2 linked regions of the Ovis aries genome follow. The protein of the gene in region 2 binds, or shares a complex with, the protein of the main gene of each other region. Links are inferred from orthologs where the notes say so. Each region holds a gene or a part of one and is shown on either strand. Other genes may lie near its edges.

The links.
Region 1: the proteins of PDPN (region 2) and CLEC1B are in contact, whole or in part, in a crystal structure (PDB 3WSR), measured with the Homo sapiens proteins. The link is inferred for Ovis aries from reciprocal best matches to the Homo sapiens genes PDPN and CLEC1B. Residues at the interface, in NP_006465.4 of Homo sapiens: Ala46, Glu47, Asp48, Asp49, Val50; in NP_001380271.1 of Homo sapiens: Arg107, Phe116, Arg118, Arg152, Thr153, His154, Leu155, Arg157.

What each region holds. Positions count from the first base shown.
Region 1 is NC_056056.1:205,424,187-205,428,000, forward strand, and holds part of CLEC1B (C-type lectin domain family 1 member B), read right to left. Parts: intron 2,322-3,814; coding exon 2,215-2,321; intron 1-2,214. UniProt on the Homo sapiens protein: C-type lectin-like receptor that functions as a platelet receptor for the lymphatic endothelial marker, PDPN.
Region 2 is NC_056065.1:53,312,591-53,316,917, forward strand, and holds the start of PDPN (podoplanin), read right to left. Parts: upstream 2,927-4,327; 5' UTR 2,719-2,926; coding exon 2,652-2,718; intron 1-2,651. UniProt on the Homo sapiens protein: Mediates effects on cell migration and adhesion through its different partners.

The sequences.
Region 1 (3,814 bases), on a different chromosome or scaffold from region 2:
AAGATTAAGTAGAAGTGAACAGTAGGTACAATAAGAGTCCAGAGGAAAAGATGGATGGGGATCTGAAATGATGAGAAAAGGCTTTACTTTCTCGTCTTTTCATGGAAGATCATGCTTTAGTTCTGTTTTGAAAGAAGGGTAGAATTTAGATTGAGAGAAGCCCTATCGGACAAGTACCTACACAGGGTGGAAATGAGCTCAAGGAAAAGTAAGTCGATTAGTTATTTTTGAAATGAGGATTTATGTTACAGGGTAACAGATATAAGACTGCATTATAATTGCTTGTTCACTTGCCTATATTTCCTGCTACACTGCTATAACAAGAGGACAAAGAATGGATATTTATTAATTCATTTGCCAATATCTGTGGGATACCTAGGTGGCTCAGTGGTAAAGAATCCCCCCTGCCAATGCAGAAGACTCAGGAGACTCAGGTTCCATCCCTGGGTCAGGAAGATCCCAAGCAGGAAGAAATGGCAACCCAATCCAGTATTCTTGCCTGGGGAATCCCAAGGACAGAGGAGCCTGGTGGGCTACAGTCCATAAGGTCGCAAAGAGTCGGACACGACTGAGTTAGTACAAGCACAAGCACGAGCATGGGATACCTGCTACATGCCAAACTTGTTCATATGCTGCTAATAGAGGGATAAACAAAACATAAGGTCTTTTCTACTGGGAACTTACACTGTAGTGAGGGAATGTTGATAAGGAGTCAACAAATAAAAAGAAAATCTCAGAGACTGGTAAAAGTAATAATGGAACAGTGTGATGTGATAGACTTGAGTGGATGCGGTGGAGGGAGGCTAGTTTAGTTTGGTAATTAAAGATGGTCTCATTGAGAAAATGATGTTTAAACAGACTTGAGTGACAAGAGGGAGCCTGCCACGGAGGAGGGGATTCTAGAAGGAAACAGCAGGTACAAAACCCTAAGACCACAAAACATGTTTAATTTTTTTGAAAGAACAGAGGGGTCACCAGTGTGCCTGAACTATTGTGAAAAGTCAGCAAGCAATAAATGTAAAGTCCAGATCTATGAAGAAGCTTGCTTGTACTCCTAATACTCTTGAGTTCTGTCCATAATAAAAATTTAATAAGTATCTGTTGAATGAATTAATTAAAAATTAAGTAAGATCTAATTATGCAAGTTTGGGTCGTCAATTTACATTTTAAATGGAGAGACATTGCACAATGTGAACAAAGGTGACTGGAGATTAGAAAATTATTTTTTTCAGATATAAATTTATTTATTTTCATTGGAGGTTAATTACTTTACAATGTTGTAAAGTAATTGTATTGTAATTGATCCTTTTGCCTGGATTGTCTGTAGAAGGTTAGAGCCTTTTGACATAGACTTTAGAATCCTCTTGTAATTGATAATGTGCCTGATTCTTGGAGACCTCTGAGGTAGAAAGTAAAAGTCGTTCAGTCATGTCCGGCTCTTTGAGACCCCATGGACTGTATAGTCCATGGAATCTCTAGGGCCAGAATACTGGAGTGGGTAGCCTTTCCCTTCTTCAGAGGATCTTCCCAACCCAAGGACTGAACCCAGGTTTCCCTCACTGCAGGTGGATTCTTCACCAGCTGAGTCACAAGGGAAGCCCAAGAATACTGGAGCGGGTAGCCTATCCCTTCTCCAGAGGATCTTCCCAAGTCAGGAATCAAACCAGGGTCTCCTGCATTGCAGGTGGATTCACTACGAACTGAGCTATCAGGGAAACCCCCTAAGGTAGAAGACAAGGGAAAATGATACTGAAAAGTCAAAAAAAGACTCAAGACGTTCCAACTATAAACTATAAGGATGAAAATTTTGTTCTCAAAATATGTGAAGAGAATCAGATCACACTACAAAAACAAACAAACAAACAACAAACAAACAAACAAACAAAAAACCAAAACCAAACCAAACACACATGGAAAATGCTCAATGGTAAAGTTAAGGGTAGAAACAAGTGGGAAAAAAAGTATCAGGAATGGGGTGGATTACGACTTAGATGAAAAGCAGAGAATGGGAGAGTCGGAAAATAGAATCTAATTAATTGCAAGCACTCTCTTGTTAGGATTAGGGAGTAAGTAACTCAGTCATCACCTTTGTAACACCAAGTATAACACAGAGCCACTTCCCAGCTTTTAAGTAACTTGTACTCAAGAGCAGAGAGGATCTCAGAAATAAAAATTCCTAGTTGTGCCTTGTGTTCTGAGTGTCCAATGACTTACACAGTTTCGGAAGGAACTGAGCCATCTTCCCACCTCCAGACGTCACTGGATTTCTGGCGGGACAATCCAATCCAACGAATTAATCCAGTCCTGCTATTGAGATATTGCTATTGCAAACACAAATAATTATAACGGTCAGAGTGTTTCTACAGTTCGTGTAATGGTATAAAGGAAAAACTTCATGATAAGACTCTGGACAAAACAATGGATTATATGTCTATATTAATGCTAACTGATTATATCTGATATTTAGAATTATACCAAGTTTACTTGTTTTAGCATAAAAATACTTGTAGGATAGGGAAAAACTGTAAACAAGATAGATAATATTCTAATAATCCTATATGTTTATGTTCCATCAATTGAAGGTTAGAATCCCAAATAAAGTACCACATATGAGAAGGAAAATGAAAAATACATTGTTGATGAAATTTTATATTCCCTAGAATTAAGCTCTGCTTGCTTTGGTTTCATTGCTTAGCTTGTCTACAAAATCTTCATATAGAAATATCAATTTTTTTTAGTTGACTGGATAAAAGAGATGTCTTTCTCAAAAGGATTTACAAATAACATACATCTACAATTTTTCACTTTGAAATTATCTCTATTTACTGTACTATATGGGTTTCCCTGGTGGCACAGTGGTAAACAATCCACCAGCAATGCAGGAGACAGGGGTTTGATCCCTGGGTTGGGAAGATCCCCCGGAGAAGGAAACAGCAACCCATCTAGTATTCTTGCCTGGGAAATCCCATAGACAGGAGCCTGGCAGGCGACAGTCCATGGGGTCTCAAAGAGTCGGACATGACTTAGTGACTAAATGCAGTAATACTTATTTATTTTGTTCATTGCCTGTTGCTCCAACTGGAATAAAGTTCCATGAAGCTACGAATTTTTGTAGGTTTTATTAACACACAGGTTCAAGTCCTGGAACGTGTTGAATTAATGGATAGATCAATCAATCAATCAATCTATGGGTAGCAAAATTAGAAGAAAGTCAAATGTTCACGTGCTCGCATACCTCCCAGGAAAAAATAGATGAGAACATGCTCTTGGCAAATAAAAATGGCTTGAGCATCTTGGCAGGAACATGAAGCACAAGACGGCATTCCATGAGAGAGATTTCATGAGAGTCACTTATTTCTTAAATGTGAGATACTTGTCATGTGTCTATTAACTTTTTTTTCTTTAAAATACATCCGCAATATATACTTCACTATAGAACTGACAGATTCTACCTGAAGTTCTGCCCAAAATTCAACTATTTTTTATTCCTCCAAAATTACATTACTTCTTTTAATTGTACATCTTCAACATGATATTTGCCTATAGCAATAAGACTTGAGAAGACATGTTTAGTCTCTAATTAACCTTCTTGTAATAGAATTGAGATTTTAAGGCACTCTCTTATTTTGTCTGACTTGAAAGAAATTAATTTATCTGAGTATCTTCTCTATGAGGCTGAGCCCACAAGAAGAGCAAATATGTGGTACAGCAAGTTAGAATAACAGGACATACAAATGAACATGAATGTCACTGGGTTAATTTCCTCTTTCCTGGTCAGTTACTGGTTAAGCAAGGCTTCAGGACTCAATGGGCT
Region 2 (4,327 bases):
CTTGTAATTCTCGGTATATACTTACTCCCTGGTTACTCATTTCAGAGGCCAGAGGAAGGGGGGGGGCAGGCCATCGCCTACCTCTGATCAGCCTGGGTTCCTCCCTCTTGCCATGTCCCAGTGTAGCCTTCTCACACGAGGATACTTTTTAGAAATGTGCTTTTCTATATTAAATGCTATCTTGGATCTCACATGTCAGTGTCATCAGAGCCTCCCTCGAGAAGGCTCTAACAGACCTGAGATACCTTAAGTGCAACAAAACTCTTAGCAACTCCAAGCCTCCGAAACTGGCAAGAGTTTTGGGGAAAGCACAGGGAAATTTGTTCATAGCATGATTAATCCTGGGTGGACTGGTCCGGGAAAAAGCACATGCGGGTTTTCAGGAAGCAGCAGCCTGCAGAATTTCACGAAATAAACGATCTCATGGAGTGGCCTGTGTACGTGTCTTAGATGAAAGTTCAGAGTGAAGGTGGGGCCTGACAGTGGAGGAATATGCCAGATGTGTGGACCACTGAGCTCCTTTAAATCCACTAACATCTCAAGAGACCCAGAGGACATCTCAACCCAGAGGACGAGATTGTACAACTGAACCAGATTATAACTTTAGAAGAGGGAAGCCCAGTAGGGAGTAGACTCCTAAGAGAAGGATAATAAAATTCATCACCATAATTACCCCTAGTTTAGCTCCCCGACAAGAGCCCACAGTGGCTCAGCTCAAAGAAGTTATTCATCCATATTCAAGTTGCCTCGCTCATTATCCTCAGACAAAACCCCTCCTGGGCCTCAACTCTTCACCAGCAGCCTAGTAACTCTGCATTGACACACAGCCCCGGGGGACAGGGCCAGGGTGCTTCAGTCTTTCCCAAACGAGTTGCTATTACTAGAAGTGGCTGGTTTTTCAGCCACAACTATTATTTTTAATTATTATTACTTCTTTTTAGGAGTACCTTTGATATTCAGAATTGGCTTAAAGATAATTACAGCTAAACTCTCCCTGGGGCAAGAGGGTTGCAGGGGAGAGGGGGAGGCTGGGGGAGGGGAGAGGATGCCACCCAGTGGCCCTCTTTCCTGAGCAGAGCTGGGACAAGGCTCAGTTTGGGGGGCCTCCCACATCTTGCCCTGCTGAGCACAAAATGGTATCATTTGCACAGTCTGGCCAAAAAGGAAATGTAACTGAAATGCAGAGCCATGTATGTGGCTCTGGAGAGAAGTTCCAAAGATAGGACTGCCATGAATAGCTCACCTCCCAGCAAAAAGAGGGCTTCCCACCCAGATGGCACAGGGGTAAAGAACCCGCCTGCCAATGCAAGAGATACAGGAGACTTGGGTTCAATCCCTGAGTCCGGAAGATCCCCTGAGGAGGAAATGGCAACCTGCTCCAGTATTCTTGCCTAGGAAATCCCACGGACAGAGGAGCCTGCTGGCTTACAGTCCATGGGCTGACAAAACAGTTGGACACAACTGCACACACACGCACAGCACAGAGAGCACCTCAATCTCCACGAAGCAGACAGCGCCGCAAAGGGAAACACACCCTGAACCACTCACTGGCCTGGAGCTGGGTATTATTGTCTTTGTGCAGAGGCCTCCTTCAAGCCCCTCCCTTCAAGCAGGATTCCTCTGGCTCCAGGCCTACCTCCATCCTCAATTCGGAAAATGTAAAAGAGTTTCATTTCCTCAATCTTCAACTCCAAAGATCCCTAGTTAGCTTACAATGACTTCAACTAATATTCAGTGAGCAACTACTAAGGGCCGGGTATTGTTTGACCCTGGAGATCAAGGTGAAGACACAGCTGTGTCCACAGGAGCTTATATTCTACAGTGGAAACAGATCAAAATAAAGACCCAAGAAAAAGAAAACACTGACCAATGTGACTGGAGGTTACCAACACAGCAGCAAGGGGCAAGAGGAAGAGAGGTAATAAGAGGGAAGAAGGAGAAGATAATGAGAGTGATGGGCAAGCAGTGTTCTCATTCTCAGATCTAGAGAAGTGAAGGTCTAAGGAGTCACCAACACGCGGTCATTGACACAGTTGGCCAAGTTCCACACGTGGCCCCAAAGGAAATTAAACTGGTGCACTCAGGACCCTCCAGTTCAGTCCTTAGCCCCACACACTATCCTCTCCACAGAGGATAACGAATCCCCACTGATCCGGCCCTGAGTGTGTCCAACGTGCTGTCTTACAGACTGGCAGCCCCCAGAGGGAGGCCGTCGCTGCACAGGGATATCCCACTCTCATCCCCGACCCTCACAATTCTATGGAGCCAGTACTTCTGAGGCCATGAGCATGTCTCCAATACACAGCCCTGGAGAAAATCCCAGCGCCGCCGGTGGACGGCGCCTGGCTGCTAGCCTTCTATCTGTCTCTCGGAGCCAGCAAGGGTTGGCAGGAGGTGGGTCGCCCTCAAGGGACCCTCTGCTCCCCACCTGCTACCTGTGGATTCGGGGTCTTTTCCTGGCACCCCGCTCAGCTCTTTGCCTGGGACCTGTCCCGGGCTAAGCCGCCGTCTCTCCTCCCGGGGCCTCCAGACTCTGGCGCGCACACTGCTCCCCCGGGCAACCTCACATTCCAGGGCCCGGCAACCCGCAAGTCCCGGCTCGCTCGTCCCCACCAGCTAGCTGCTCGGGGAGCTCCGCCCGCTGGCCTTACCTCCTTCTGCCAGGACCCAGAACGATGCGCTTCCCAAAATGAAGAACAGAACTGGCACCTTCCACATTTTTCTTAGCTGACTTGTTCTTTGCGGTGGGGAGCCGAGCAGCTAGTTTCTGGGCTGGGGAAAGATGAAAAAGCTCCGTAGCCAGGGGCCTTCCCTTGATGAAGCGCGAGAGTGGGGCCTGGAAAGCGGGGAGCAAAAGTCCCAGGACGGGAGGGGTCCCCAAGTTCCTTCGCTCGCAACAGCCGCAGAAGAAGCAAACTTTGCAGTTGGTAACTTTCGGGTCGGAGTCAGCATTTATCTCTCCGGAGGAGGGCGGGGAGAGTCCGCGCGCTAAGGTGGTCCCAGTCTCGGGTTCGCTAGGACCGCCCCCTGCCTGTGTTTGGCCAGCGCGAAAACGATGACCTCAGGCCAGGTTTAAAGTTACAAGGCCACAGCTGCGGGGGCTGCTAGGACCCGCACATGGGTCCCGGCAAAGTTGGCTTGTATTTGTTCCCCGACAAGAGGGAAAGGGGGCGCATGCAGTAATTGATTTGGGGGGGTAATTTTAAAACTGTATTTGTTATTCTCTCTCTCTCTCTTTTTAAAAGTAAGGCACAAGCTTGGGTTTTTCTTTATATAAGAAGTAAACTCTTTCTTGGGTGGCCAGTCATTTTAGCACCAAGCATGGGATTGATCTTGTAAATATTGAATTTGATGGCATTAGAAAAAAAAAATGCTGCCATCCTCCTGCCGGTGGGCCAGAGGCGGTTCCCGCTGGTAAACTGCGCCCTTGTCTAGGGGCTGGGAGCGGGAGGGCTCTGGCTGGCGTAGGGGGTCGGGGGTGCATCCCTAGAGAGCTGGGAGCTTGGCAGGCTCCTGGGATTCGGCAGTTGGGAAAATGCTGAGCGCGCGATCCAACCTCTCCCTACTTTGGTTTCAACGCTGCGGGGCGCGGGCCCACCCGCGCAGTCAGTCGATGGGGTGCCACAGCCCAAGGGTGTCAAAGGGACCCCCCCAGGTCACCAACCTGTGGGCACTTCCCGCTGGGGCTCATCCCTTCTAATCCCGGACCTTGGCCCTCTAATCCCCATTTTACTGGTTCTGATCTCAGGTACTGGATGTTAGCAACAAGAAGAGAATTTGTTTTATTTCCTTTCCAACTCTTGGAATTAAATATTTTTCTCTTAAGGGGAGACGTTGGAAAGGTGGTCCACTCCCAAATGCCGTAAGTTCCATTCAACAAAAAGAGCCAGAAGATAAATGCCCCAAAGCTCCATCCTGGAGTGAAAATTGGTTTTTTTCCGATCCTTAGGAGAAGGCCAACCCCTAGATTCCAAATTTACTTTGTCATAAGAATTAGACAGGGAGATTGTAATCACATCCTTAGGGAATTCCTAAGGCAGAAACCCCAAGAAAGTTTAGTAAACGGAGCCCCAGGCAGCCCTTCTCAAACACCCGTGACCCAGTCAATCTCTGTTAGAATGCTGTAAAGCTTCCTGGGGAAATTCTGAATTTCTAACAATCTCCCAGGTGAAGTCTTGTCCTGGGGCTCTCAGGTAGGTGCTGACACCTGAAATAAGGAGAGGAAGAGACCTAGGAGAGTGCAGGGGTTGGAAACATAGAGAGAAAACTGTAGGTAGGGTAATCTGAACTAACTTCCCCATCACGTTCACTCATTTATTTGTGTCAT